Linked DNA regions of Sus scrofa. The protein of the gene in region 2 interacts with the protein of the main gene of each other region in a biochemical or structural test. Links are inferred from orthologs where the notes say so. Each region holds a gene or a part of one and is shown on either strand. Other genes may lie near its edges. The genes, in order: MAP2K4, MAP3K1 and MAPK8.

Region 1 (10,660 bases), on a different chromosome or scaffold from region 2:
AGGGAAAGCAGCTCATTAACGACATGACCGAGGGCAAATACCGAGCCTCCGTGAGCCTCTACGCTCTTGTCTGTAAAAACAGAGTAGTGATCTCGAGCGTTTTGTGATGATCCAATAAGGTAATCAATCTAAAGCATCCCACCCAGAGCAGGGATACAGCAGGGTGTCATGCGTCATTTTTACTCCCGGTCTCTCTTCCCTGTACGACCAGCTAGACCCACACAAAGCCAGCCTCTTTCACTCCCGGGCAGCTTAGAGAGGTCAAAGCAGAGGATCCCCACGCGGCGCTCCACTCTCTGCTCCGGCCCTTCCTAGACACAGCCTGGGGCACTGAGCGCGACACCTCCAGAGGTGGGTGCTGTCCCCTGGCAGGAAGCTAACCCAGATCTCAGGGACTCCGGCAAATGCATCAGGGGAGCCATTTAATGTGGCTCGTTTTTTAGCAAAGTCAGGCACGAACAGACAGAGGCGTGTCAGATATTTAACAGAGAGACATCTGGCAGCACTTTTCCAGTTTCCCCCTCCTGAAAACGGAGTGACTGTTGGTAAGATGCGATATAGCAAGGCCTGAAAGAGCTGCTGTGGTGTCCAGTCCCCATCCTCCCCCGTGGCGGGGAATGACGTGCTGCTCTTCAAGAACCGAGCTGCGCGTGACGCGACTGCCAGCTTCTCCGGGAAGGCCTCTCCTGAGCTGTTAACTGCTGGCTGATGCTGCCTTTCCCTGCGTGGCGCCGATCTCGGCTCTTCTTGCCCTTGAACCCTTTCTACGAGTTCTCGTTAATTCCCAGTCTTGCCATGTGTGAGAAGAGACACATGAAGAGCTTCTGGAGCTGGGGAAAGGGTCAGAAGCGAACCCATGCCCATGAGCAGGCAGGACAGTGAGCAGCCCAGGCGACAAATGTAGCCAGGATGGCCACATATGTCATTAACTCTTAAGCTAAGCGGGTGCCTTTTTCTGTATCATATATGGCCTGGAAGGAGTTCATCACCTTTCAAATCTATACTGGCCTCCTGCGCCAACATCTAATTAGAGTTTTCTACTTATTTGCAGATTCCCAAACAAAATGCCCTCAAATTCAAATGCCAGGGTAACCCGCTCCTCCCAAGCAAGTGCAGAAAGACGTGTGCAACATAAAGACGCATCGGAAAGCACTGAGACGCCAAAAGCAACCCAAACATGCTGGATGCTTACAGCTTCCGCCCCCTGACTGAAACCTAAAATCATCTCGTCCTTCTATTCCTGGATCTGCATCACTTCTGGCAAAGATCCTTCTCTCAGACCTGAATGGCTGAGAGGGGAGCTCGGAGAAGCCGTGTGAACCTGTGCAGTAGAGTAAGAAGGGCAAAGGCCACCTGCCACACAGGGGGATTAAAACCCACTTCAGCTAGGGCAAATTACCTAATTAATTGATGAATTTATTTTTGTCTTTTTGTCTTTTTCAGGGCCACACCTGCCGCATATGGATGTTTCCAGGCTAGGGGTCCAAAAAATAAGAAAATCTCTATGGGTCCAAACCAATCCAGCTTCTCAAATTAGGTAACAGAAATGGAATAGAAAAAAGAGAAAAATTACAACAAAAGAAATATGACTCAACACACAGAGTTCACTAACATCCCATCTTAAACAAGTTTCAGCGCGCATTCGCTCTGATAAAGGACACTGCAGGAAGTGTGAGAAAACGAGTATCCTGAAATAGTATGTTCTTCTACTCTTTAAATTTTAATACTAAGGTTGCTCTTCTTTTTATGGGAACATAGAGAAATGCAATATGTGCTTTGAGGGGGGACCAATTTCCTGAGCTGGATTTTATTTATCAGGTCATGCCAAATAAATGGTGAAAGAAATAGTATACAACACATGAGAATGGAAAGCAATTCTAGGGTTTGAAACTATACCCATTGTCCACCCAATTCAGTTCTTTAAACTAGAATGAAGATACCCTCCTACAGTTCTTGAAAACCAGACTAAAATGGTAAAAACATAGTCAAACAAGGCATTCCATACACTGTATATGCAAATAATGTTGGAAAAAAAGTATAATGAGTTTAAATTTTCATTTTTCTTAACAGATATGTTTCATTGCACTTGAAAGTTGTGTATGCATTTTTTATTTTGTGAATGGAGGTATAATTGACATACATTAGTTTCAAGTGTACAACTTGATTTGCTATTTGTACATATCGTGAAATGACTGTCACACAATTAGTTAACAACTATCACCACACATAGCAAATAATTTTTTTCTTGTGGTGAGAATTTTTAAGATCTACTCTCTCAGCAACTTTCAAATATGCATTACAGTGTTAGTAACTACAGTCGCTACGTTGTACATTACTTTGTATATTTTTACAAAGTAGAATCAAGCTGCATCTTTTTAAATTGATATTTATAAAATGTTCTGCTGAGGGTAAATGGATAAAGACTGAACTAGTCCATAAGTTTTCTTTTTTCTTTTTCTTTTTTTTTTTTTGGTCTTTTTTTAGGGCCACACTCACAGCATATGGAAGTTCCCAGGCTACGGGTCGAATCGGAGCTACAGCTGCTGGCCTACACCACAGCCAGAGCAACTCGGGATCTGAGCCGCATCTGCGACCTACAGGACAGCTCATGGCAACACCAGATCCTTAACCCACTGGGCGAAACCAGGGATCGAACCTGCATTCTTATGGATACTAGTCAGATTCTGCTGAGACATGACAGGAACTCCAAGTTTTCTTTTATACATCTATATTTGAGACTGAAAATGAAAAAAAAAAAGAAAGAAAGAAAGAAAAACTGCCTAGATCAGCACATGAAGAGAATCTGAGGCACTTACAACATATAACTATTTCCTGTAACTAGTACTTTACCAATTCCTCCGTGTTTTTCAGAATCAATTATAGATTCTTACTATTCTAATCACTTTTAAAAAACTGACCTTTCTGAGACACCCAATAAAATTTAATGAAAAGTTTTCTTCTTCCCTACTTTAGTCTATAATAAATTTAACTTATGTTTATGAGGTATCTTTTCCTTTTTACAACCGCAAATGTGGCATATAGAAGTTCCCAGGCCAGGGGTCAAATTGCAGCTGCAGCCAAGGCCCACACCACAGCCACAGCAACACTGGATCTATGCCACACTTGTAACGTGCACCTGTGACGTGCACTGCAGGTTGCAGCAAGGCAGGATCCTTAACCCAGTCAGCAAGGCCAGGGATCAAACCTGCATCCTCACAGACACAAGCTGGGTCCGTAAGCCACTGAGCCACAATACGAACTCCTATGAGTTTTTTCTTTTTTAATCTACTACATTTTAAGGGGCCAGTAACTAAAGCATTTAAATAACCATATCTAATAGCAATCTTTATATGGAGGTATTTTATAATTTTCAAGGCACTTTCATGTTCCTTAATCTAATAATGTGATTCTCAACAACAGCCCTGGAAGGTAAGTATAATCCCTATTTTAACAGATGAGTTCAGAAAAGGTAAGTAATTTCCCCAAGGTCATAGAGTTTGTACATGGCAGAGAAGTTACCTGAACCCAAGTAGAATACAGACTCATCAAGAATATTCTGAACAGAAATGCTCAATAATGAAAAATGGAAATAAATAGGTTAAAGAAAAGGGTAGGACCCAATAATAATGCAGCTAAAGAAACTGTGACAGGTCATGAGGTGTTAGCTACTCATCTGCTACTAACACAATTAACTAGAGCCTTACAAACAAGAATACTGTTGCTATTAAGAGTGACTACAGACGGGGGAGGTCCCATCCTGACTCAGTGGTTAAAGAATCCAACTAGGAACCACGAGATTGGGGGTTCCATCCTGACCTCGCTCAATGGGTTAAGGATCTGGCATGGCCGTGAGCGGTGGTGCAGGGTGTAGATGCGGCTCGGATCTGATGTTGCCGTGGCTCTGGCATAGGCTGGCGACAACAGCTCTGATTAGACCCCTAGCCTGGGAACCTCCATATGCCGCGGGTATGGCCCTAGAAAAGACAAAACAAAAAAAAAAGAGTGACTACAGTTAACAAGTATCAATCATATCCTTACTCTCAGTCAGGCCCACACTTTCTATACATCCTTAAAGTTCCCTTCAGGTAAGCATTATTCCCACTTTCCAACTGAGAAACTGAGGCTTGGAGAGGTTAAGGATCTTGTTCAAGGTCACAAAAATCTTAAGTCCTGTTTGGTGGGGGTGGGGGTTTCAAATCCAGGGCTCCAGAGCTCTGCCTTAACTCAAGCATCATGATATTAAAAAAAAAAAAAAAAAAAAAAAAAAAACAAACAAACACAGAGGCCACTCTTGGGCCATGGACCTCAAGCCATGAAAAGACGCGCAGGGTGATCCAGTGTCCAGCACAGTGTTTATGACGCAGAGCGCCCGCCCATGTCTGTTGGATGTCCCACGCTGGAGACATGCGCTCCTGGAGAGACAGTATTTGGGGGTGGCAAGTGTCAGGGTTGGGGGGGTGGCATTTACCAAACATCTTCTAAGCATCTGAAGTCTGATCTAAAGCCAAAGGTCTGGCAGATGAAGTAAGTAAGGGCGGTTAGGCTCTAGCATCACAAAACAAACTAAAAAAGATCTTCCACCGCCGCTTAAGCTCTGGCTGTGTAGCCTGTGCTAGAGAACATCCTGAGAATTCCAAGTGTTTCTCTTCATTCCGAGCAATCGAGAGAGGTCCAAGAAGATAGAACTAACAGGTTCCTGCGTCAGTCAAGGCTACACACAGTACTGACAAAAGAAAATTCATCAATAATTCAAAGAGAAGTCTCATGCCCTCCCTCTCCTCTTTAAAATGGGTTCTGCTTATTAGAAAGTTCAGCTGACTGGGTCTCCACACCCAGGGCTGGGGGAAGAGAATGGAGAGCATCAGAATAATTCCTGACCACAACGACTGTGAGTTCCCAGAACACTCCAAGCTCTTTCCCACTTTGGAAGCTTCACACACACTGCTCGCTCTGCCTGGAACTCCCTTCTTTATTGCGAGAGTCATCTCTCCAGACAGGTCCTCTGTGACCATCTTATTAGACTGCTCCCTCTCCTATTATTTCCTATCACAAAACCCAGCCTGTCACCTTTGTAACACTTTTCTCAATGAGTAACATTTCTTATTATCTACGTATTGTCTTCCCTCCCCCATCCTATCGGGGAAGTAAGCTCCGTCAGCAAGGAGACCATTCAACTCACTTTTCTGTATACCTGGCACTAGCATACTTTGCCTGGCATTAGAGCAGATGCTCAATACATAGTACATGATTTGGGAACAAAAATTAATTTGTGCAGCTTCTTCAAACTATCAGCCTCCCTTACCCTCCTCAAAAAAAAAAAAAAAAAAAAAAAGAGCAAAACAAACCAAAAAACAAAACCCTTGCATTCTCATAAGCTTTCTAAGTCACCCGTTGTGGCTATACAATACCATCCTAACCTGTCATTTTGCTGTTTCATTTCACCACTGCCACCAACTAGACTGCAAAGCTGGAACACCAGGAAACCCATCCTGCACTTCATCTGTATATGGTGCAAGACGCTGACATCCAGTAACTAATTCAATCCGAATTAATCATCAGAGGGCCTGCACAGAAAGTGTCCTCGCGGCTGACATCACCCTGTCTATATATCTACCACCATTCCTTATGTATATTAAATTATCTCATGGGGAGGGCGACAGGGACATAAAAATGAATAAAATCCTGCCTCTGCTTCCTGAATCACACTCTCTCCTAAACACCAAATACTCAATAAACGTCAAACCTAACTAGACACACGGTTAAAAGACCTCGCAGCCCTTTCAGCAATTTTTAATCAAAGAGTCACCATGGTCACGCCGACCACGAAGGGTGCTCCGACGGAGTCTGCTAATAATTCGAGCAGTCTGCGAAAACTGACCAAGAGATTTCTGAGATTCCCTGATTCAAAAATAACATTCCTCGTCTAAATTCCCCAGTAAACTCAAGGAAACGCTCGCAAACGGGTTGGGGCCTGGCATTTTCACAACACCCCCTTGTCAAGGGCCGTGCAGAGCTAATGGGCATTCCCGGGGGAAAAGTCCTTAATGAGGACGCTGCTTCCGATGTCCAGCCACCGCACAGAGCCCCTCTGACCCCGGCCTTTCCACTTCCCAGAGCTCTCCCTGTAAACCGAATTCCCCCTTTTCTCACTTGTTTATTTATTTTGTCTGCATGCAACGCCAGCACAGAAATCCCTGGCCCGGAACAAATCGCCTCTCGCAGGCCACCGGCTGTCTAATTACCTTACAGGTGGCACAGGCCCGGGCAACCCCCGGCCCTGCCGGCGCGCAGAAGCCCCGCAGAAGTTTGGGCACCGAGGGTCCACCAGGACCGCGGAGCCCGGAGGGCAGCTGGGCGGCCGGGCCCGGCGGCGCCCGCAGGGAACCAAGATGGCCCTGAGCGGGCCCCGCTGCGGCGGCGGAGGCGGCGGGGCGCCGGGCCGAGGGGCGCGGGCCCCCGAAGCCGCCGACGCCGCCTACCTGCGCGGCCGGACCGCGGGCCAGGCCCGGGCGCCTCCGCCGCAGCCCGGCCGGCGCGCGCCCGGAAACGCGGGCGGGGCGCGCCAGGTAAGCGGCGGCCGCGAGCCGGGCGGCCGCGGGGGCGGGCCCGGGCCAGGTGGGCCCCGCCGCCGGCCGGGAGCCCGCGGGGCCGCGGGGCCGAGCGCGGGCGGAGGCCGCGGCCCGAGCCTGCGCCGGCCGCCGCCCGGGGCCGGGCCGAGCCCGGGGCGGGAAGCCGGGAGGGAGGGAGGCGCGCCGGCGCGGGCGGCCCCGGTGGCTTCCTCAGCCGGGTCCGGGGGCGTCCGCGGGCGCGGGGACAGGCCGCGACGACGCCGACGGCCGCGCCGGGCGGCCGGGGTCTCGGCGCCGCCGCCTTCCTTACCCTGCATGCTGCTGACGGCCGGGTGGCCGGGCGCCGGGGACCCCACGGGCCCCGGGGTGCCGCTGCTGCTGCTGCCGCCCCCGGAGCCGCCGCCGCCGCTCGGGCTCGGAGCCGCCATTGTTGGGAGTGAGGAGCCGAGCGGCGCCGCGGCGGCTGCAATGCAGCAAGCTCGGCCTCTCGCACGGCCGAGGGGCGTGGCCGACGCCGCCTGGCCCCGCCTCCGGCCCGCCCCCGCCACGCCCCAGGCCCGCCTCCGCCCGCGCCTGACGCGGAGCCGCACCAGATGCCGCGCTGCAGAGCCGCCCAGGTCGTGGGTGCCCAAGCCCACGGAGGCCGGCACAAGTCCTGGGCCAGGGCTGCGGGCCCCACGCGGGGCCTAAAGCGGTTTGCCGAGTGAGGGGTTGCGTGCATTTGGGGGATAAGAGGATACATAGCTTGCATCGTTCCTACTGAGGTCTGTCACCCCCAAAGTTTAAGATGCCCGGTGTTGGAATCTTAGAAACCAAAACCATTGTAAAACTGAAAGGGACCCCAGGGGTCGTGTGTGCTGTCAGGTCTCTGATGTGGCGCTTGGGAGGGGCGTGGGCTTTAGCTGCACATCCTCTTAGGCCGTACCTAACACCCCATCTCTCCACACTGCCCTGGGGATCCTAAGGGATGCTACTGAAAGCACTGTCAATGGACCCATCTCAAGACTACGGAATACGAATCTATGTAATAATTTGTATGCACATTAAATCTGAAAAACAGGATTTTTTTTTTTTAAGTCTTTTTAGGGCTGCACCTGTGGCTCTACCCAGGCTAGGGGTAGAATCCGAGCTTTAGCCAGCCACAGCCTCGCCAGATCCGAGCCGCATCTGCGACCTACACCACAGCTCACCACAATGCCGGATTCTTTAACCCACTGAGCAAGGCCAGGGATCAAGCTTGGGTCCTCATGGATACTAGTCAGATTGGTCTCTGCTGAGCCACAATGGGAACTCCCAAAAAACAGGATCTTAGGCACCCAAGTCCTCAGCCTCCCAAAATATATTATCTACATAAGCATCTTCCCCTAAATACACACTGAATTCTCTCCCCCACCTCCTCTATACCTTAGAAGAGCAGTCATATAAATTATATAATTTATATATGAATAAAATGACAACCTCAAAGAACAAAATCAGGTTTCTTTCAGGGCTTGGCACAGAGACTGACTTTAGGAGGGCAGCAGCTAAAAGGAAAAAAAAAAAAGTTCTCTGTGAGGTGGGGCTTTGTGGACAAACAGACATATAATTGGAGAGGTAAGATGTGAGTCTCTGGGCAGTCTTACCTACATGTAGAATGCCCATGCTGAGTCGTCTAAAACCATGGAGTGGGAGGTTCCTGCCCTTCAGAAGCATTACGAAATCTGTACCAGGACACTTCCCACCCAGACCTTATCTGTGCTGGAACTTCCTCGTAGCAGGTTGGAAATGTGACCTTCAAGAGAACCCTGCCTTCTTCCTCCAAACCCAGCCTCGACCATTATCTTGACCCTTCAGATCCTAACAGTGGCTGGAGGGAGGGCTTAGGGAATGTAAACCCAGCAGGCAGTGAAGGCAAATGGAAGGGGAGAGCAGAGAGCTCTACTTAAGTGGAGGGCCTCACTTCCCAACTGGCCAGAACCCACCTCTGAAGACCTGGCTGATGGCGTGATATCTCTAACTTCAGGTCATTATAAGCGTTGCCAAATTCCCATCTGGGAATCAATATCCCACTTTGCTCGTCGGTCCTGGGGTATCCTAAGTGTGAGGTCTTCAGAAAGGAAATATTATCAGAACCTGCAAGGAAAGTATCCCATCCAGGCTGTTGAGCTCAGAGTACAAGCTAAATACCCCCTCTACATCTTGGGCTTGGTGCTGAGGGGAAGAGAAACGACAAATGCCAGGGAAAAGGGATCTATGGCTCCCTAAATTCTCTTCTTTTGAGGTATAGATTGAAGGATGGCTTTTGTCCAGGGTTTATATTTCTTTCTTTTCTTTTCTTTCTTTCTTTTCTTTTCTTTTCTTTTCTTTTTTTGTCTTTTCTGGGGCCCGCACCCGCAGCATATGGAGGTTCCCAGGCTAGGGATCTAATCAGAGCTGTAGTTGCAGCCTACACCACAGCCACAGCAGCCTGGGACCCAAGCCACGTCTGCGACCCACACCACAGCTCACGGCCATGCCAGATCCTCAACCCACTGAGCGAGGCCAGGGATCAAACCCAAAACCTCATGGTTCCTAGTCGGATTCGTTAACCACTGAGCCACGAGGGGAACTCCATGAGGTTTATATTTCAGTGCCTGGAGGGTTTGCATCAAAAATCAAATGAAATTCTCGGAGTTCCCGTCGTGGCTCAGTGGTTAACAAATCCAACTAGGAACGATGAGGTTGCAGGTTTGATCCCTGGCCTAGCTCAGTGGGTTAAGGATCTGGCATGGCCGTGAGCTGTGGTGTGGGTTGCAGACATGGCTCGGATCCCGGTTGCTGTGGCTCTGGTGTAGGTCTGTGGCTACAGCTCTGATTCAACCCCTAGCCTGGGAACCTCCATATGCCGTGGGAGCGGCTCAAGAAAAGTCAAAAAGACCAAAAAAAAAAAAAAAATGAAATTCTTCTCTCAAAACATCAACACGACTTGCCAACAATTAGCAAAGATTGATGCAAAATAATAGCGACCCCACCCCCACCCCAAGCAATTGTTCTGCATTTCCATTGGCTTGGCCACTTTAGCATACTGGGAAAAGACATCCATAGCCCCACAATTTTCTGCCAAACAAACCAAATGTCATCATCAGGCTCCAGATGCAGGATTACCAGACACCAAATAGTTCTATTTGAGTAATTTTCTGACACTTTGGTCTGGGACCTGCCAGTAGGTTTTGCAACTAATTGTAGTTGTTTAAATGTCACTGTGGGTGTATGTCATTTCATTTCTGACTTCCAGTTCCTTGGTTTTAGAGTGGTAGCAAGAAATGACTCTGCAGACTTTGAGTCTGCCCACCCCCATAAGTACTAGGAGAATCTCTCCCCCATTCTTTGAGGTGGACAAATGATATCCTCACAGTCTTATGTAAAGTGCCACTAGCCCCCTTCTCCAATTATACATATTTCATTAGTAGAAACCTATCATTTAATGGAAATCCTAGAAGAAATACTAGATATTAGGCAACTACTCTAGAAAAAAAAAAACGTTTTAAACCATATAGTTTTCCAATACATTGAAGATTGTTCAAAAAGAGTTTGGTCACTTTGCTGTACAGCAAACATTGGCACAACATTGTAAATCGACTATACTTTAATAAAAAAATGATAAAAAGAAAAAAAATTATATTTTGAGTGACAAAAAAAAGTCGAATCAAATAAGAAAAACAATGACTTGATACAGTTAAATGAACTTGAAAGAGAAAAATATAGGTAACAAATAAGCCTAAAGAAAAACATTCAACCTAGGAAATTCATTCAGGAAAGCTGAATTAAAAGAGTAACATATTGTAGAATCTAAAATATGATACAAATGGACTTATTCCCAAAACAGAAACAGGAGTTCCCCAGTGGCTCCATGGGGTAAAGACCTGGCATTATCACTGCTGTGGTGTGGGATCCCTGACCCAGGCAGCTCCACAGGGCATGAACAACACACACACACACACACACACACACACACACACACACACAAACCAAAAAGAAAAACAAAACAGAAACAGACTCACAGACATAGAAAACAAACCTATGGTTACCAAAGGGGAAAAGGGTGGGGGAGGGATAAATTAAGATTTTGGGAT
Region 2 (10,028 bases):
AAAAGAATCTGAAAAAGAATACATACAACTGAATCACTTTGCTGTACAACTGAAACTAATTCAATGTTGTAAATCAACTATACTTCAATTTAAAATAATCTCTTAATATCATTGTACGTGTATGTAGATAAATGGTCTGAATAATGTTTATAAAATATGTACTTGGAAAAAAGATAGGCAGAAAATACCCCAGAAAGGAATTTTTTTCAGTTAGAGAACCATTTAATATGTTGCACTTGAATTTGAGTAAATCGTGGAACTTCATTTTTCATATATTTAACTCTTGAACAAGCTAGTTTTGGTGTCGTTACTTGAAAAATTAGTTGATCTTGGATCATCTTTGCCATTAATATTTTTATTACAGATTGTTGTAATAAATCATTTCTGCAGTGTTTCCATTAATTTTTTCATTAATATATGCATATTTTAACAGTTTTTCCCCACTCCTTGTAGCTCCCTAATTATGAGATAAATGGGACAGATAACTGGGAGGAAGAGAGACCAGTAAGCATACTTCACTGCAGGAGTCACGCATTGTGACGCTGAAGACATGCTTGTTCAGCTTTTAGGAAAGTTTTTTGGGGAACTGTTCTTTGCTGTCAATCACTCAGACCTGTTTTTCAGGAATTATAGCTTTAGATAGTAGCAGTGTAATATTGAGCCCAGGGGAAAACTGAGCTTAGTAGAGACTCTGGAATTTATAGGGGTAAGTAAGTATGGGATATTCTTCTCAAAGCCCAGTGATAAATCTGCTACAAACTGTTCTGTGATTTTGGGCAACTTATTTATAATAACTCAGAATCTTGTCTTTATGTTGTAATGGAAATACTGATTTTAAAAGCCACTCATCACATCCTGAAGGTTCAAACAAAAATTTGTAAATAGAAATAAAACCTTGCCCTTCATTCTGGGCTGCACACAAAATAACTTGTTAATAGTTTAATACATCTTTTAAAAATTAGGAGTTATCTTGTGGTGCAGCGGGTTAAGGATCTGTTATTGTCACTGCAGTGCCTTGGGTCACTGCTGTGGCACAGGTTGTCCCTGGCCCAGGAACTCCCACATGCTGCAGGTGCCCCCTCCCAAATTATAAAAAGCAAGGAATTTAAAAACTCTTCTCTGTACTCTGTGCTTATGCAGATTCACACACACACCAATACTACTCTCATCTTTCTTATTTTTAAATAAATATAAAACTATATATTTTAATCTGCAACTTTTTTTTTAAATTTAAAAAATGTTTTTACTTTATATATCAAGAAAATTTTCCTCAATACAAAAATATACACTACTTTCTTTTAGTAGCTGGCTACATAAGACTGAATGGATGAGACACAATATATTTTACCATTGCCATAATTAATGGACATTTAGTAACACTTTTGATTTTTTGTTTGCCTGTTAAATGCAAAAAATTTTCTTTTTTGTTTACACACAAAATACTTCTGTAAGACAGCATCCTAGAAAATAGGTTTTTTTTTAGGTCATGGGTATATACATTTAGTACTTGAAGAAATACTAGCAAATTCCTTTCCAAAAATTTCAGGTTTTTTATTCCTACCAGTAATATATATGAGAACCTGTTTTCCTGTGCCATTATCAACCTATTTAATTTGTGTGGGTCAGATTATCCTCCACCAACCCAGAAAAAAAGACAAATAAAATAAGATAGAGCTTTATTAATTTAACATGTATTTTGTACTTTTTCCAAATTTATTGGCTACTGGTATTTTTCATTTATCTTCTTTTCTCATTTTACTGTTAATATTTTTTTTACCAATTTTAAATCCACTTCGTATAATAGGAATAGTCAAATATATATAATTCAAATATACATAATAAAGTTATAATTTTGCCATAAATGGAATCATTCTAAAAAAGCTAGAATTCTGTCATGTTATCTGTTGTTTTTCACCATACAGCATACTATGGATATTTTTCTTTGTCATCATGCATGGATCTCTTTGATCCTTTTCAGAGACTTCATAGTGTCTTGGTGTACCATTTTTTTAAAACACTTTTTGATGTTCACTTGGTTGATTTTTTTTCCAATATGCCAAATAATACTGCAGTGAACATTCACACAAATATATCTTTATTATTTGTGTCCATTCCCTTATGATATATTCCTTGAAGGCTAGTTGAAAGGTTATATGCATTAAAAATGTGATATATTTGTTTCTAGGAAAGTTGGATCAGTTTATAAACCTACCAAAAGTGTCTGATATGGGTCTTAATACTTAAGGATGTGGAATAGATGAGCTCTGTGGTTCTTCCAATACTTGAAATCTTGAAACTGTTGGCATATAGTATGCTTGTACATAGTTAAACCTTATTAGCAGTTTGTTTATTCAAAAGGTCCAATAACAGAATTTTGGGGACACATATTTCTCTTAAGATTGTAGTTCATATATTGAATTATAGTCATAGCAAGAAAAGGTTAAACCATACCCACAACCTGTAAATTCATAATGGTGTGAATCTGATTCAGAATTACTGTGTATTAACAGGAGAAATACTTCTCTTATAACCTATACAAGAATTTTAAATTATTTTTCATAGTCCAAAGAAACCAAAATTGTTTTTAGCAATATGGCATTAATTCTCTTACATTCTTTTGTGGATAATGCTTTTGTTTCCTCTTCCTTATAGTATAAAAGATGAAGAGGAACAGATGTGTCCTATTTGCTTGTTGGGTATGCTTGATGAAGAAAGTCTTACAGTGTGTGAAGATGGCTGCAGGAACAAGCTGCACCACCACTGCATGTCAATCTGTATGTGGCTTTTTTTTCCCTATGCTTATTCAACACAGTTACTCTGTGAGCTAACTATGATTCAGGACTTGAACATAGCCTCTGGGGAGACTAGCGAGAGAAGGAAAGAAGTATATTTACGCTATATGTGAAGTTTTCAATGAACAGTAGTTCAGGATCTCTTAGGAGATGAACTATGTGAGCAAAGAAATGTTAGAAAGTGTGACACGTGTGGTAGTGGAAGTCACTCACAGAATTAGAGTTGTGATCTGGAAGGTGCACATTGGGGGAAGGAGGTGTAGGAAGGCCTGGACAGGCGTTCCAGAAAAGGTAACATCAAAGCAAGCTCTGGAATAGCATTACCAGTTTATCAAGTGGGCAGAATGTTTTGAAAGAGAGTCCATAAAATACATCTTATATAACTTAAAAAATAGCATTTGCAGAAATTACGAGCATTAGAATAACCTGCTATGTTTAGAATTTTTTGAGGTTCCTTCCATATAAATTCTAGATTAACCATTATGAACAATTATTACATAAATACTTAATGTTAAATATTTATATTTTTGTCAGTGTTTTTTTCCTTAATTTTTCAGGGGCAGAAGAATGTAGAAGAAATAGAGAACCTTTAATATGCCCCCTTTGTAGGTCTAAGTGGAGATCCCATGATTTTTACAGGTAAAAATTATGAATTAATGATTTGGGTATGTTTAATAAAAATGCTCTCAGAGTGTTATTTAAATCCGTTAATTTTTTTAGCAAGCTTTGTTAATTTTTCATTTAGCCATGAGTTGTCAAGCCCTGTGGATTCCCCTTCTTCCCTGCGAGCTGCACAGCAGCAAACCACACAGCAGCATCCCTTAGCTGGATCACAACGAAGGAATCAGGAGAGCAATTTTAACCTTACTCATTATGGAACTCAGCAGATCCCTCCTGCTTATAAAGATTTAGCTGAGCCATGGATTCAGGTAAGTAGTTCTTATTCTTCAGTTCTCCATGAAACATTTATAGACCAATTAATGTAGTTGTCTCCCCAGTTGTTTATAATTTAAGAAAGTACTTTTGCTTATCTCCATCATGACTCATTTCATTGAGAATTTTCATTTTACCTTTGGTGTTAATACTATGCCACTTACAGAGTTAAACTTCAAAAATTCTTTGTAGTCTTACCTCCCATCTCTAGAAACATCTTCCTGAACTGACAGACATAAACATTTACCCAAGGATAGAGGATCCATTTAATAGTAACTTGTCCCAGTGTTTAATCCCATTCCTTCCAAGAATTTCTGTCATTTTCTTATTTGCTTCCATTTAAAGTCAGTTTCTTCTTTCTGTATTTTTCATGGTATATGTTAGGTACTAAAAAATTGTTAAATGGATGAGTAAGAAAAAATATGTGGTATTTGCCTTGTATTAGTCATTTTTATTTGTAAGGACAGTTTCCATTCCTTTACTTTCTCTTCTGCTTAAATGCTTTTTCATCCTCAGTAAGTCAGAATTTCGGTTGGTTGGTTGGATTCTAATGATGTTTTTTGTTGTTGTCTGATTAGTCCATTTTTTTTTTTTAATGTAGAATCCAAAACCAGACAATATCTCCAGTAGATAAATAGTGAGGTAAAATATTTTCAATAATCTGGTAAATTCTGTTTAATAATTAAACTTGTAAACAGATACAATAATTTAAGCTTATATATCAGTAGGATTTATTTCCTTTTTCTTTTTGTGACCATTTATAGTCCTGCAGTTTTTGAATCCTCTTTTCTCAGCATTTTAACAACCTAATATGAATGTAGCAAAATTTGCAAACTTAATAAATATATCTCATTTATTTTTACCTAGTTCATTAATGGTTTTTAATGTAGGCCCTCACCTGCCCCTTCATGAATCCTCAAGAAAACTGTCCTGTTGATATTGAGCTATTGGATGCCCATTTTTTCAAAACAGTGGCCTAGTTTGTTTTGCTTAAGCTCTAGGTTGGACTAGGCTATATGCTCCTAATTTTTTAAATAAGAATATCATATTAGACATATGCATATAATAAATCCACTATATTTTAATTGATTTATTCTCCTTTATTATCACTTTAGTATCACATTATCAAAGAACACATAAAAATGTCATGATTTATTTTCCCCAAATTTCTGCTTATTCATCTCTAACATTTAGAAAGTTTTCATATGATGCGTTATCTTAGTTAACTGTACCTTTAGCTCTGGTCCATAATGTCAAGACAATGCACCTGTTCTTTTCTTTAAGGACTCTTTGGCTTTGCAGATATGATAATGATAGCTATAATGACATGCACTTTAATTATAAATATTTCATTATCCTTTGCTGATTTAAACACAGTATTTTTCTTTAGTCTTTTGATTTTCCACTGCATTTATTATATATGATATATATATTTATGTCCACACCTTTGGCATATGGAAGTTCCCATGCCAGGGACTAAATCCGAGCCACAGCTGTGACCTGCACTCAATCCTTTAACCCACTGTGCTGGGCCAGGGATTGAACCTGCACCTTACAGCAACCCAAGCTTCTACAGTTGGACTCTTAACCCACTGTGCCACAGCAGGAACTCATCATATTTTTTTCTAATTAATCAAATAAGAACCTTTGACTTAGCACTGTCATTGATAGGAGAAATACTCTGTATCTTGAACGTCAGCCCCAGTGCCTTTCTTGTCTTGGCTTTGTTTGTTTTTTGTTAATCTTGCTTCAGTTTTTTTCTCTGTAAAATACCTTAACACAAATACAGATTTAAGGTTCTTCACCGATTTATTTTGTTTTGTGGCAAGCGCAAGAGTACAGAAATGCATATAAATCCATCTAATTGCCTAATGGTGTCCACTCTTAATTTTACTTGAGCTAATATATGTTAAGGGCTTTTGATAATTACCAGTTAAACTTCAGTATAAAATTCCTCCTTATGGACATGTTTTTAAATTGTAGAGTGTGGTGAAGATTTAAGAAATGACCAATTTTCTTTTAGTAATCACAAATCATGCTTAATGCAAAACACTCTAGGTTCATTGCTTTTTCTTCACATTGACCATTTTGTTTGTTTGATTATAGGTATTTGGAATGGAACTCGTTGGCTGCTTATTTTCTAGAAACTGGAATGTAAGAGAGATGGCTCTCAGGCGTCTTTCCCACGATGTTAGTGGGGCTCTGCTATTGGCAAATGGGGAGAGCACTGGACATTCTGGGAGCAACGGTGGAAGCAGTCCGAGTGCTGGAGCCACTAGTGGGTCTTCCCAGACCAGTATCTCAGGAGATGTGGTGGAGGCGTGCTGCAACATTTTGTCAATGGTCTGTGCTGACCCTGTCTACAAAGTGTACGTTGCTGCTTTAGTAAGTAGCTTTATTCTATAACCATAGCATTATGGGTTTGTTTAGGGGGGTTTTGTGTGTGACAGTTTGCATTTATCATTTTTAAGATTCAGCAAAACTACTTTACCTGATTGAATTCTGGAAAATTCAAATTTAGTTTTTATCCATAGTCCCGGAAAATTCAGTTTTCTAATTAATCTGTTCATTTGGATGTCACTTTTCTTTATACTATTTACTTTTCTCCCCTAAAGTAGCTGTTCATATCTTTACATTTGCCTTACCTAATACATGACCAAATCAAAAATATTTTATGGGATAGCAAGGTAATCAAAGTTACTTTGATTTTTTTTTTAATTTGATATTAATAGACATGAAGAACAACTGATTTTCAATAAACATTGGTGTATGGAAATTCAGAAGCCTTTTCACAGAAGAGAGGATTCCATGACATAGATTACTGAGTTTTTCTGTTTTAATCTGTTAGAAGTTATCTTTCATGAGTAGGATGGAATGACAAGGCAGCTGTTGTTTGTAATTTTGGAGGCTAATTTGATTTTCTTCATTATGAGTGTGTGTATATATATACATACATATATATATATATATCTTTAGAAGAGGGTTTCTCAGCCTCTGTACTTACTGACATTGAGAAAGATAATTATTTCTTGTAAGCAGTACTGTCTCATGCATTGTAGGATGTTTAGCAGCATTCCCAGTCTCTACCCACTAGATATCCCCTCCCCTTAGTCATGACAGCCAGCATTGTTTCCAGGCATTGCTGACTGTACCTTGAGGGTCAAAACTGCCCCCCAGTTCAGAACAGCTGCTTTAGAATAATTCTTATCTAGTCTGTTTTTAAAACTCACTCATCTCTTTGCTTCCACTCGTAATCTTTTTCTAATCCATCCTATAATAACTATGAGAGATAGTTTAATGTGGTTGTGAACATTAGTTTGGAGTCAGAATTGAGTGACTTCATAATTTATCATCCCAGCTGGGATATTTGAATAATATGCTAATTAAACTGGGACTGGTCTAGGCAATTGGGATGTATGGTCAAGATCATAGACACCTTGATTCAAATTCCGGTTCTCCAGTTTGCTAGAAGTATAACTTTTAGGACTCTTAAACTTTAGCTTTCTCTCCTATAAAATAATGGAAGTATTTATCCTTTAGGTCTGAGATGAGACTGAGTAGAAACCTTTAACCATAACATCTAGTACACTGTAAGAACACTGACTATGGTAGCTGTCATTATTCCTTAAATGCCACTTTATTCTCCAGCCCAGAAACCTTTAGAGGTTTCTTTTTCTTTAGCAACATTTCCTAAAACATATTCTGTGAAGATTTGACTGAATTATATAAAGTCCCTGAAGGACTTCTATGTTCAGTTAAAATTGATGAGCACTGAATTACATGAGGTTAAATGGGTCTGTTCACTGAAAGCTTTCTAGGAACTTCCAGTGATTTCACATACATTGGGAATCTAATCATGGGGTAAGATTAATTATTTCCCAAATTGATCTTACCATGATCTGTTTTTCATGTAGCGTCTTAAGGGACCAGCATACCAGCACACTTTACAATAAAGACCAGGGTTCTTGGCTCAGCCTTTTACCTCTTTCATCTTAACTGTTTTTGAATGCAAACCTTGACTGCTCAGTATACTGTCTTACTATTTGGTTTATTATTATTGTTATTATTCCCAATGAGTGTGTGAGCTCATGGAGTACAGGGACTCTGTGAATGATGCTGTATTCTGATTCCTCTACACTTATTTAGTGTGATAGGCATGGTGGAGGCAGAAATGGTTCCGGTCCTTAGAGCTCTCCCTTCCCTTTCTCCCCTCCCTCTTGCCTTCTTTGTCTTCCTCCTTCTCCCTCACCATATATAATTTTTTCCTGAACCATTTGAAAATTATGTTCAGGCATCATGACGTTTCCCTTTGAATACTTTAGCTTTTGTCTCTTAAGAACAAATACATTCTTATGTATAACCACGGTGCAGTCAGCATACTCAGGAAACTCGGCATTAAAAACATTACTGTTATGTACATATTAAATGTTAAGTCCATATTCACATGTCCCCAATTGTCCCAACTGTGTCCTTTACAATTAACCTGCAGACCTTAATCAATTTCATCAGTTTTTCCATTAGTGTCTTTTTTCTCTTTTGGGATCCAGTCCAGGGTCTTACCTTGCGTTTAGTTGTCATGCCCCCTCAATCTCTTCCCTTCTGTGACAGTCCCTCAATCTTTTTCTTTTGTAGACTTTGACATATCTTTGAAGTATACTGGCCAGTTATTCTGAACAGTTTCCCTCAATTTGGGTTTATCTGATATTTTCTCATTATTAGATTATATATGCAACTTTTTTTTTTTTTTTTTTTGGTAAGAACACCAGAGGTGATGTGACCTTCTCAGTGAATTGTTATCAGGGGTACATCGTGTCAGTCTAATTATTGGTGATGCCATCCTTCATCACTTGATTAAGGTGATGTCGTGGGCGAGTTACTTTAAGACTGTACAGATATCCTGTTTCTATTCACAGATTTTATTAGCATTTGTCAGTGGATCATGCCCACAGCAATGATTACTATGGTGTTCTAATGGTGATCTATTTCCTGTGTTCCTTCAGTATTAATTAATTGGAATTCTTCCATAAAGAACAGCTGTCTCTTCTCCCCCATTCATATATTTATTCAGTTTTTTATTTCCATCACCATAGACTCATAAGTACTTATTTTATTCTATGAGTTATAATTCAGTATTATGACGTATTTTGTAGTTCACATTACTCTAGCTTTGGCCATTGGGAACTTTTTCAAGTTTGCTCCTTTTCTTTTTAAAATAACTTGCATTTTGAAATTAATTCAGACTTTCAAAAATAACGGAAATAGTTGAGAGTTCCTTTCTACCTTATCTATTTACTTATTCAATTTTTTATTTGTATTGGTTATCAACTCATAGAGTCTTATTTACAGGTAATAATCTATTCCTGTTGTTATTTTGTTTCTCTAGTTGTCTCAGATTAGGCCATTGTCTCTGATGCTTTTTAAATATAGTTAAACTAACCTTCTGTTTCCTCCCCCCACCAGAAAACGTTGAGAGCCATGTTAGTATATACTCCTTGCCATAGTTTGGCAGAAAGAATCAAGCTGCAGAGACTTCTCCGGCCAGTTGTAGACACCATCCTTGTCAAGTGTGCAGATGCCAATAGGTAAGGCCTTATCAGTGAGCTGCTTCAAACCCTCTTGTCTTAAAAACATAGCATGGAGCCTCACACCTAGTGAATATTTGATCCATACTTATTAAATGAAGCTTTAAATATTGCTTTCTAATATTAGATTTGAAATTAACATGTAATAGTTAAAGGTCTTAATGACTAGGAGGAAGAACTAATGGCAAGGAAAAACCATGCTAACACACTGCATGGACCTCCACATTATTGTGCTATGATTGGTTCTCTTTTATTTTTTATTTTTTTTTGGTCTTTTGTTGTTGTTGTTATTGTTGTTGTTGTTGCTATTTCTTGGGCCGCTCCTGCGGCATATGGAGGTTCCCAGGCTAGGGGTTGAATTGGAGCTGTAGCCACTGGCTTACGCCAGAGCCACAGCAACGCGGGATCCGAGCCGCGTCTGCAACCTACACCACAGCTCACGGCAACGCTGGATTGTTAACCCACTGAACAAGGGCAGGGACCGAACCCGCAACCTCATGGTTCCTAGTCGGATTCATTAACCACTGCGCCACAACGGGAACTCCAGTTCTCTTTTATTTTAAAGTAATATTCTTAAACTGAAGTCCAGTTGATAAGAACAATAGCTGATATGTATGTGTATATATATAAAGTGTAATCTCATTTTAGAGAGTTACATGGGATAGGAACCAATAAAATGATTATACATGCTTTGCATTATCAGGACTGAAAAAAAAAACAA
Region 3 (10,572 bases), on a different chromosome or scaffold from region 2:
CTCTACTATCTATTTTCATACTTTTCAGATACTTATTTTGATATCCTGCTGTTCTAAAATGGATGTGAGGTGACTATAAGGTTTCCCTTTTCTTCTGATTTACATTTTACCTAACATGTACCACACTCAGCTTTAACCAGATATTAGAAGATATCTTGCTTTTTTGGCTTATTTCATGAGTATATTTTATTTTATTTTTTGCTTTTTAGGCTGCACTTGCAGCATATTGAAGATCCCAGGCTTAAGGGTTGAATCAGACTTGCAGCTTCTGGCCCAAACCACAGCAATGCAAAGCCTCGTCTGCAACCTACTCCACAGCCCACGGCAGTGCCAGATCCCTAACCCACTGAGCAAGGCCAGGGATGGAACAGCATCATCATGGATACCAGTCAGGTTCATTACCACTGAGCCACAATAGGAACTCCCATCTAGTGAGTATATTTTAAAAGGTGGGGCTAAAGATGTATGGTTCATTAGTTCCCAAATGCCCCAACATCCAGCTCTCAGACCCGATGACTAAAGAAATTCCCAATGAGGAGTTCCTGTTTTGGGTCAGCAGGCTGTGAACTCAACTAGTATCCATGAGGATGTGGGTTCAATCCATGGCCTCACTCAGTGGGTTAAGGATCCGGCATTGCCACGAGCTGTGGTGGTTGTCCCAGACAAGGCTCGGATCTGGTGTTGCTGTGGTTGTGATGTAGGTCGGCAGCTGCAGCTGCAATTAAACCCCTAGCCTGGGAACTTCCATATGCTACAGGTGTGGCCCTAAAAAAGCAAAAACAAAAAAACAGAAAAGGAATAAAGAAAAAGAAAAAGAAAAAAGAAATTCCCAATGAAATGCCTAACAACACTTGGTTTTTGTATTTGGACATAAATTCACACGTTTGTTATAATCTCCCATTCAGCTATACTCATTGAAAAGAGAAAATGACTTCTACTTCCTGTAACCCCCAACATCACTAAAATGGCTTCTCAATGAATACTGCCTGCGCAAAACCATAGTTTTGTTGTCCTCAGGAAGGAGCAAGAAATTTAATATATCAATATAAGCACAGAAACACTTCATAGAAAACTTAGAAAAACATAGAAAAAGAAGAGAGAGTTTCCAGATGCTACCTAATAACCTCTACAAAATGCTTAATGAACTGTTGTGCTTACCTGGTCTCTAACAAATTTGCAATTTTCACAGCGTCAAAGACCACAATAAGATTAAATTTAAAAGACGTGACAGGATTCCATTTTCTTAAAAAGTGGGTAATGATAAAGCTGTTTTCAGCTCCTAGATTTCCATTCCTTTAGCTACCATCAAAATAAACCTAGGAAAGCTTAGGCAATTCTCTGCAGTAGGAAAGATAAAAGGGGCAAAAAAAACTTTGTGTCAGAATATGTGGCAAATGTTCCCTTTAATGTTTGCTTTTGGAACATTTCCAAACTTTTAAGGCAGAGAGAATTACTGGTCTAAATGATAAATCATTTCAATCAACTCATATTAGATGAAATAATCAAATTTTAAATAATCCCTCAGAGATGCAGAGGTGGGGAAAATGGGTGTATTCTGATTCTAAATTTACTTGGCATTTTGCATCTGTTCCAAGTTAAAAATAGTAAGTGATAACAACAGCTAAAATTTCCTTAATACCTGCATCTAGCATTCCAGGTACTGCACATGCAGTTAAACCTCACAGGCCTCTGAGATTATGCATTAAATTCCACCCTTGATCATGAGGTTCCTGAAGCTAATAAACTCTTCACTTTCACATTTTCTCATATGACAGAAAATAAAACAGGTCCAAAGGAGTTCCTGCTGTGGCAGAGTGGGTTAAGAATCCACTGCAGCTGCTCAGGTTGCTAGAGAGGTGCAGGTTCAATCCCCTGCCCAGTGCAGTTGAATTAAAGGATGCGGTGTTGCAGCTGTGGTATAGGTCGCAGATGCAGCTTTGATTCAATCCCTGGCCCAGGAACTGCCCTGGGGGTGGCCATTAAAAAAAAAAAAACAAAAAAACAAAAAAAACAAACAAAAAAAAGGCCTAAAGATGTTATGTAACCTGAACTAGCCTATACCACATAGTTAGATTTGCAGCAGCCACTGTTAAGTCTGGGTACCTTAACTTTCCAAAGAGCTGGCATATTTTAGCCAAACCTGATGCACTACCAAAGGGTAATGGGAGATGGAGACATATATTTGTGATATAACCTGCCACCCTGAAAAAGAACGGCAGTATTCTAAAACTCCTTATATATAATTTTAAAAATTGGATTTCAATGAAATTTGGCCTGCCCAGAGGTTTAGGGTAGGCTTTTGTTCATTTGGAGGGAATCCCTCTCACAATCTTTAATAGAACAAAAAAGCACTGTTTAGGTATGCATTAAATTCCACCCTTGATCATGAGGTTCCTGAAGCTAATAAACTCTTCATTTTCATATTTTCCACGAAGTCTGAAAGCACAGTCTTGTTAGTAAGCATGGTGCTGTGGAATGAATAAAAATCTACTAACCAAAGAACTCCTTCCTTATAATGAAGCTTTTTATTTGACTTATAAGTATAGTCATCACAAAAAAAAAAAAAATTTAGGGCCTCACCCACGGCATATGGAGGTTCCCAGGTTAGGGGTCCAATCAGAGCTGCAGCCACCGGCCTACACCTCAGCTCACGGCAACGGCGGATCCTTAACCCACTGAGCAAGGCCAAGGACTGAACCTGCGTCCTCATGGATACTGGTCAGGTTCGTTAACCACTGAGCCACTATGGGAACTCCATCACAGAAAATATCTGATGCAACAATTTTCTCTGCTTCTGTAGATTACAAAAATCTAACTTTCACCCAAGAAGGACTCCTTTTGTCCTAGTATGTTTTCTGAAGAACCATCTATCTGGGGAACAACTTTTCTATTTAAAAAGAAGAAAAATTCCAACAGTGTCAGTTTATAGTTCTAACCAAAAAGGTACGCTGCCTGCCTACACCTCTATAACTTGCTGATGACAAGGTCCAGATGACAGAACTAAAAAATGAACCTAGGTCTGATTCCTAGACAGGTCTACTTCCACCTATGACCCTGAATGATAGAACAGCTTATTTTAATACTCCTGTCACCTGTTACGTAGTAAAGTTTGTTGACTCATTTCTGAAATCAAAGTTCAAATAATCTGCCTTAAAGCAAGAAGAAAAAGCTACTAAATGTTCATGGAAAGAGCTCATGACTAAGACAATAAGCATCACAGCTCAGAGAGACAAATGATTTACATCTAAAGCTATGTGGCTTTGATGACTTCCCTGCTCTACATGAATCAGAGAGACTACCATCCATACTACTGACTTGATCAGAGACCTCTAGAGAGCTGGCATCTTAAAATCAGACATTGTTTTATATACATATGCAACAAAGCATCTCAACTATTTAAATGACACAAATATGTCTCAAAACTCAACTCAATGACAAAGCAAGACATTAAGAATCAGGCTTCTATTCAACAACCTCTTAATTGGCACTAGGATAGTTTGTGACTAGTCACTTAATAAATTACTTCAAGTAGTTTTGGTGAGCACTGAGTATAAACACAGGTTATTTCCACAATATTAGGCACTCAGCAAACAAAAATTTAAAGATTAGGAGCTCCTTGGTGGCTCAGTGGATTAAGGATCCAGCATTGCCACTGCTTGTGGCTCTGGTTACAGCTGTGGCTTGGGTTCAGTCACTGGCCGAGGAACTTCCACATGGCATGGGCACAGAAATAACTAACTAAATTAATAAATAACAAAATTTAAGTACCTAATTTCATTAATTTTGGTAAATTTGTTCTTAAACGAATTTCCCTTTCAAGTGGCCTTTCTCACAGGATTTAAAGTAATATGAAGGGGAGTTCCCGTCGTGGCGCAGTGGTTAACGAATCCGACTAGGAACCATGAGGTTGCGGGTTCGATCCCTGCCCTTGCTCAGTGGGTTAACGATCCGGCGTTGCCGTGAGCTGTGGTGTAGGTTGCAGACGCGGCTCGGATCCCGAGTTGCTGTGCCTCTGGCGTAGGCCGGTGGCTACAGCTCCGATTCGACCCCTAGCCTGGGAACCTCCATGTGCCGCGGGAGCGGCCCAAGAAATAGCAACAATAACAACAACAACAACAACAACAACAAAAAATAAATAAAGTAATATGAAGGATAAAGTTTCCCACTCTGCCAGGATACTTAGAAGGAGTCCTTTTCAAATTCATTAATGCATACACTTACTAAAACAAAATCAGTGCTATCTCTTCCTTTAAAAATAAGGTAAAGTTGAACAGGGAGTGGCTACTGATGGGTGTGGGGTTTCTTCTTGGAGGTAATGAAATGTCCTGGAATTAGAGGTGATCAATGCATAATTTTGTGAATACATTTAAAAACCATTGAAGCACACTCTAAAAGGATAAATTTATGGCATGTGAATAATATCTTGAAAAAGCTGTTATTCTTTAAAACCAACAGAGTTTAGAAAACAAAGCAAAAACACTTTGGGTTTGTCACCTAAAGCCTGACCAGAGGATTTGTATCAGTAACCCTTACTGGAATTTAACATACTTTAACTAGGTAAAGCAATAAAAGTTTAGTATCTCAAGATTTTCATCCCTATCTTAATAAAGTATCACTTTATTTCTTTATTTGCACTCTTAAGCTCACCTCAAATTCTTTCATATCCAAAATAAGTGCTAAAACATATTAAGTAGGGAGAAGAAAAGACATGTACTGTGGATAAATATTATTTTGAGTTTTAGACCCATATGCCTAATACTATTAGTCCAAAACATTTCTAACAAACTTTAATAAAATGTAATTAGATATTAAGGATTTCTAATAAAACTTTTATGCCATTTGTTTCTTTTGGTCTAACTTTTCCACTTAAAGGAGTATCGAGAAACATTTCAAGTAATATTCACAAAAGGATAAATAATCATTTTAGAGGCTTACTGAAATATCACTGAAATATACATATCACATACACAGACACACAGAGTAAAAAATATTTTAGCAAGATTTAAGTTTAGGATAGTTCAGAAGTAATAAGGAAAAAAAATTGATACTGAAGTGATTCAAAAACCCTTACTGTTGTGACAGACAATATATATACGAACTGATCATTTAGCCATCTGGATGTGACCCGTTTGCATGAGGCTTCCAAAACTTTACGAAGAACATTAAATGCTTTTTGTTAAGGCTTGAGTTTCAATATTATCAATTGTAAAGAGCTTTTCAGTGATCTGAGTTTTATTTAACACTTACTATATTCCAGGCTAGGTGTTGGAGACACAGATCCAAGACAGGCCTGTCCTGAAGGAAGTCCCATTCTGACTGCTTGGTTATGTCAGGTACAGCACTAAACATGTTCACTCACAGCATCTAACCTCCTAGGCTTAACCCACAGCAGAGGATTCTGAAGTAAACATTACACATGACTGTAAAGAAATACATGAAAGCTGTACATTTAGACCAAATATAACTCTACTTCCTAATACATTTAAGGTTACGCCTAACATTCCAGATGTACTACCAAAACAGTAAAATGACCCAGAATATAGCTATACCTTCTTTAACACACATTACTTACATAATTTCATTTAAATCTCATTTAAAGGTACATCCATTCAAAGTATCTTCTTCCATTAAAGGATATTTGTCTTTACCCTCAAACTCTCCATCTGGGTAGAGTACTGAACAGTTGTTGAATGAATGAATGAATGAATGAATGAAATAAACAGATGTTCTAATTACCAAGGGGGTACTTGCTGGATGCTTATCTTAAAACACAATGGACTGACAGACCAGAATTCTTCGGGAAAGATCACTGAATTTCAGAGGTAAAAATAGTAAGCAATTGACATTGTCTGATAACGTGCAGTCAACATGTTATTAAGTCCACAGTAAACACATGATAGGAAACTTTCAGAAATTAAAATGAAAATAAAACACTTTTGTGTTCATCACGGTACCTTGAAATAGACCCGGTTCTACGACCTAAGGATTGTGAACAGAAGTGCAAGACAAAGAGAAGGGAGGGTGGGGTGAAAAAGTCAAAAGGTCACCACCGAGTGACCCTCATGAGAAATGCGCGCTGACCACTGAAGCTCGCGCCGAGCCTGACGGGCACCTCCCGCCCAAGCCACCGGCCCGGGCTCTCCCTCGCAGCCCTGCTGAAGGCCACCTCAGTCTTTCTGCGCCGCCGCCTGCGTTCGCCCACAACATAAGCACAAAGAAACCACCGAGAAACAAAACACTGTTCCCGTGGGCTCCGGGCAGGCGTCGGGTCCCGGCCACCGGAACGCTTTCCCCGGCTCTCCACTGCCGGGGAAGGCAGCCAGGGCGCGGCGGGCCGCCTAGGCGCCTCCGTTCCGACCTTCGCCGAAGTATTTCAGAACTTGCCACCAACCTCCCGTTTCATTTATCCCTCCATACGCGGACGCCGGACCCGCGCTAGGAGAACGCCTGAGGACCGACGGGCGGAGCTGGAGAGGCAGGCGGGGGGCGAGTGGGGGGCAGGCGGGGCGCGCCAGGGTCCCGCAGCCTCACGCCCCCAGGGCGGCCCCCGCCTATCCCGCAGCTATTGTTCCCGCGCCACCCACGCGGGCCGCGCGCCCCCCGCCCGCCGCGAGCTCCCGCCCCCACTCCCGGGAGGGGGTCACGGCTGAAGAGAGGCGGCGGCGGTGGCGGCGGCGGCGGCACAATAACATAAACACCGCGGGGCCGCCGGCTCTGGCCCTCAAGCTCTCACCACACTCACCTGGCAGCGCAGCGAACGGCAACAGAAAACCTAGGCGGTGGAGACTGGCGCCGTCCCGGCGGTCGCCGCGGCCGTTACCCAGCGCTGCTCGCGGCTCCGCGCTCCGGGCAGCGTCGTCCGGCCTCGGCCGCTCAGCTGAGTAACAGAGACGCTGCCCGTCACGGCGCACGCCCGCCCACGTCATCGCGCAGGGCCCCGCCCCCGCGCTTCGCGAACGGGCCGCGGGGCGGGGCAGCCCCGGGGCCCGGATTGCGGGGGCGGGGCCCGCATCCGGGGGAGGGGCTACTCTAGGGGGCCGGGAGGACTTGCGGAGGTCGCCGGGAGGCGGAGCTGCGGGGAGAGCCTCTGAATGCGGACTGTGAGGGGCGTGGCGGGAAGCTGGATGGGGCGGGGCCCTGATCCTGGCACGTGGCGGCATATGGCCCGAGAGCCTAGTATGTGTACCTGGGCAGTACGCTATTCCTAGGCAAAGCCTCTGGGGTTCTTTGCCTCAGGGTTTGAAGGTCAGTGCGCTTAGGCCAGACCCGCCCAGGGAGCAGGCACCCCGGCCTGGTCAAGCATCTGAGTGACGGAGGGCTCTTTACCTTGACTGACAGTACGTCCCATTCTGAGGACATCTACTCCAGGCCTAACAACCCACGAGCAAATATTCTCTTCAGCCACCTGGAAAAAGCTGCCTCCTGTTTTCCCCAGATCCACTTCCTACAAGATTCCATGCATTGCCCTATTTGTCTTTGGGCCCCTCAAAGCATGTATATGTTTGTTGTAGAAGTGATAAATTGGCAAGTCCTTAAATATCTGACCAGTGGAAAGATGTCTATATTACATGCATGTTTGCAAAAGAACACATTTTAGCAATTTAAATGCCGTGTGTTCAAGGGATTCTTAACCACACAGGAGAATGTTCATCATACTTCATTAAGAGAAAGAATCAAGCCTATGTATATTATATATATAGATAGTTAGATGATGATCCTGCTTATATACTGTGTATAAAAGGAAAAAACTGGAAACATGACAACTTATTTTAACAGTAATTCATCATTGAGCTGTAAATTGATTCTCCTTGTACTTTGAGTATTTTTCCATGGTTTCCAAGTTATGTTCATAATCAGAAAAAAGTATATTATTTTAATAATGAAAAATACATATTTCGGGGTTTTTTTGGGGGGATCTTTTTTTAGGGCCACACCCATGGCATATGGAGGTTCCCAAGCTAGGGGTCTAATCAGAGCTGTAGCTGCCAGCCTACACCACAGCTCACGGCAACACCAAATCCTTAATCCCCTGAGTGAGGCCAGGAATCGAACCTGCATCCTCATGGATACTAGTTGGGTTCAATAACCACTGAGCTAGGATGGGAACTCCAGATATTTGTTGAAGAAATGAATGAAGTCATGTAGATTATTTTCCATGTTATGTTGGGCTGGCCTATTTCCAGTGATTCTGAAATGAAGCATTAATGTGCATGTTCATTTATTCATTTTCTCCCCAATTCCTCCCTCCCTCTCAGGGCTTCTTTATTTCCTTCCTTTGTTTCTTAAAGAAATACATACTACATACCCATTCTGTGCCCGGTACTGTGCTAACATTGGCAATAGGATGGAGCTTATAGACTTATATTACAATAGAAATAACAGTAAACAAATACAAAATGATCACTGCATCATAATACAAATTTATATGCATATATAGAATTATGGGACAAACTGATAGAGTTAATAAAGCCAGGAAAGTCTTCCTTGAGGACCTGCCTCTTGAACTAAGAATAGATTCAACTAGACAGAAAATATTTTAGACAGAGGTAAAAACTGAGGAAAGCCAGGTGCTGGTGGAAGAGCAAGGAAGAAGGAGCTATGAGATGAAGTTTGGAAGGGTGGAAAAGGACCAATTCTAGTACAGCCATACTACCTATGCTGAAACTCTTGTCTTTATCCTAAGTGCAATGGGAAGCTCCTGACATGCTTCAGCAAAGGGGATGGCATGGTCAGAATGGCATCTTAAAAGGATTCCTTGTTGGAAGGAGGCCAGTTAGATATAGGAGTAGTCTAGATAACGGACGGCAGAGGCTTGGTCTAGGGTGATAGTCGTGGAAACAGTAAGAGTAAGGATCTGAAGACATTTTAGGAGATCCAATACACAGAACTTGCTGATGGATTAGGTGGGCAGTGAAGGAAAGGTAGTCATCAAGGAAAATCATAGATTTCTTGCTTGTGGCCAAAGATGAATGCAATATTGATTCACTGAGATGCGAATCTTGGAAGAGGACAGGGATTGAATGGAAAGGTTGTGAGAGCAGCTAGTTTGAAGGCTTTTGATCTGCCCCAAAGAGATACCAAGTTAGCAGCTGGGTATCCAGAGCTGGAATCAGGTGAATAAGATATGAGTCACTTATGAATCACAAGATAGTGGTGACTTGAATCCTTGGGTGTGGATGAGTTAGCCTAGGCCCGAAGGATGGGGGGCAGTGAGCAAGATGAAAATAGGGCCGAGAGCCAGATTTGAGGAACTTCAGTACTGAATGGCTAAGAAAAAAAAAAATGAGCTGAGAAGGAACTGCCAGGAGGTAGAAGGAAAACTAGGAGAGAGAGATTCAAGAAGAAAGGAGTGATCAATAATATCAAATATGAGAGGAGGCTTAAAATCCTGGAGTACTTATTTTCGGAAGCAGTTTAGAGTAGGCTAAGAATGAATGGGAGACTTAATATGGAGATGTTGGATATTGATGAGTCAGTCTGTAAAGCAAGACACAAGCATGGTTTACATCTAATAGGGAGACTGTTGAGAGGGAGAAGTAGAATAGAAGAAAAAAGCATGTGTAAGTTTTCCTAGAAGAGTAAGAGTAGAGATTGTGTGACTGTATACACAGGTGGAAGTATTGGCAGGTACCTCCTACTCCCACTAGATAATATTAAGACTTGGAGCTAACAAGACAGTATAATCAGAGCAGTTGTGAAGTGAGGGGGATTGCAGAAGAGAGCTCCCAAATTTCAGGCCTAGTTCTATAACAACATTAATAGTCTTACTTTCAAAAGCCTTGCTTTCTTCCTACAGGAATAGCTTCTGATTTAGCATCAGCCTACCACTGTCAGCTTCTAATTACCTACATCTAGAAAGGACATCCTGCATGTTTACATATGTATACATGCATGTGTGTGATTTCAGAAAGCATTTTATAGGTTTTGATTGAATATCATCGTCTCTGATATTCTGTAAATTTATTTTTTTATTTATTTTGTCTTTTTGCCTTTTCTAGGGCCGCTCCCGCGGCATATGGAGGTTCCTAGGTTAGGGGTCGAATTGGAGCTGTAGCCACTGGCCTATGCCACAGCCACAGCAATGCAGGATCCGAGCCGCGTCTCTGACCTACACCACAGCTCACGGCAATGCCAGATCCTTAACCCACTGAGCAAGGCCAGGGATTGCACCCACAACCTCAGTCTTAGTCGGATTCGGTAACCACTGTGCCACAATGGGAACTCCAGATATTCTGTAAATTTAAATTCCATTTTATAACCCAGACACAGCTCTGGGCCTCCTTCTTCCTTCTCAGGGAATTTTTTGTTATTAACTTATTATTGTTCCTTGTAAGCCAATTGGAGGTTGAATCAGAAAAAGAGGCAGACCTGAGGAATTTTTTCATTATTGGGTTTTTTCCCTAATGTACTACTCCTACCTGCCACAGCTTAGATATGCTGATGCTAAATTGCCCTCTCTCCATTCATATCCAGGTATTGAAGATATTCAATAGTTATCCCCTGGAGAAAAAGACAAAGGGAACTGAGTAGGAAGGAAAGAATATGTCGTTGAAGTCCTGTAACAATAAAGAA

Evidence for each region.
Region 1: of the proteins of MAP3K1 (region 2) and MAP2K4, one has a biochemical effect on the other in vitro, tested with the Homo sapiens proteins (7 studies listed by BioGRID and IntAct, with this or other methods). The link is inferred for Sus scrofa from reciprocal best matches to the Homo sapiens genes MAP3K1 and MAP2K4.
Region 3: of the proteins of MAP3K1 (region 2) and MAPK8, one has a biochemical effect on the other in vitro, tested with the Homo sapiens proteins (3 studies listed by BioGRID, with this or other methods). The link is inferred for Sus scrofa from reciprocal best matches to the Homo sapiens genes MAP3K1 and MAPK8.

The regions. Positions count from the first base shown.
Region 1 is NC_010454.4:56,398,422-56,409,081, reverse strand, and holds the start of MAP2K4 (dual specificity mitogen-activated protein kinase kinase 4), read right to left. Parts: upstream 7,054-10,660; 5' UTR 6,998-7,053; coding exon 6,880-6,997; intron 1-6,879. UniProt on the Homo sapiens protein: Dual specificity protein kinase which acts as an essential component of the MAP kinase signal transduction pathway. Essential component of the stress-activated protein kinase/c-Jun N-terminal kinase (SAP/JNK) signaling pathway.
Region 2 is NC_010458.4:35,923,560-35,933,587, forward strand, and holds part of MAP3K1 (mitogen-activated protein kinase kinase kinase 1), read left to right. Parts: intron 1-2,652; coding exon 2,653-2,774; intron 2,775-3,349; coding exon 3,350-3,431; intron 3,432-3,537; coding exon 3,538-3,721; intron 3,722-5,831; coding exon 5,832-6,110; intron 6,111-9,185; coding exon 9,186-9,307; intron 9,308-10,028. UniProt on the Homo sapiens protein: Component of a protein kinase signal transduction cascade. Activates the ERK and JNK kinase pathways by phosphorylation of MAP2K1 and MAP2K4. May phosphorylate the MAPK8/JNK1 kinase.
Region 3 is NC_010456.5:88,985,263-88,995,834, reverse strand, and holds the start of MAPK8 (mitogen-activated protein kinase 8), read right to left. Parts: upstream 6,922-10,572; 5' UTR 6,743-6,921; intron 1-6,742. UniProt on the Homo sapiens protein: Serine/threonine-protein kinase involved in various processes such as cell proliferation, differentiation, migration, transformation and programmed cell death.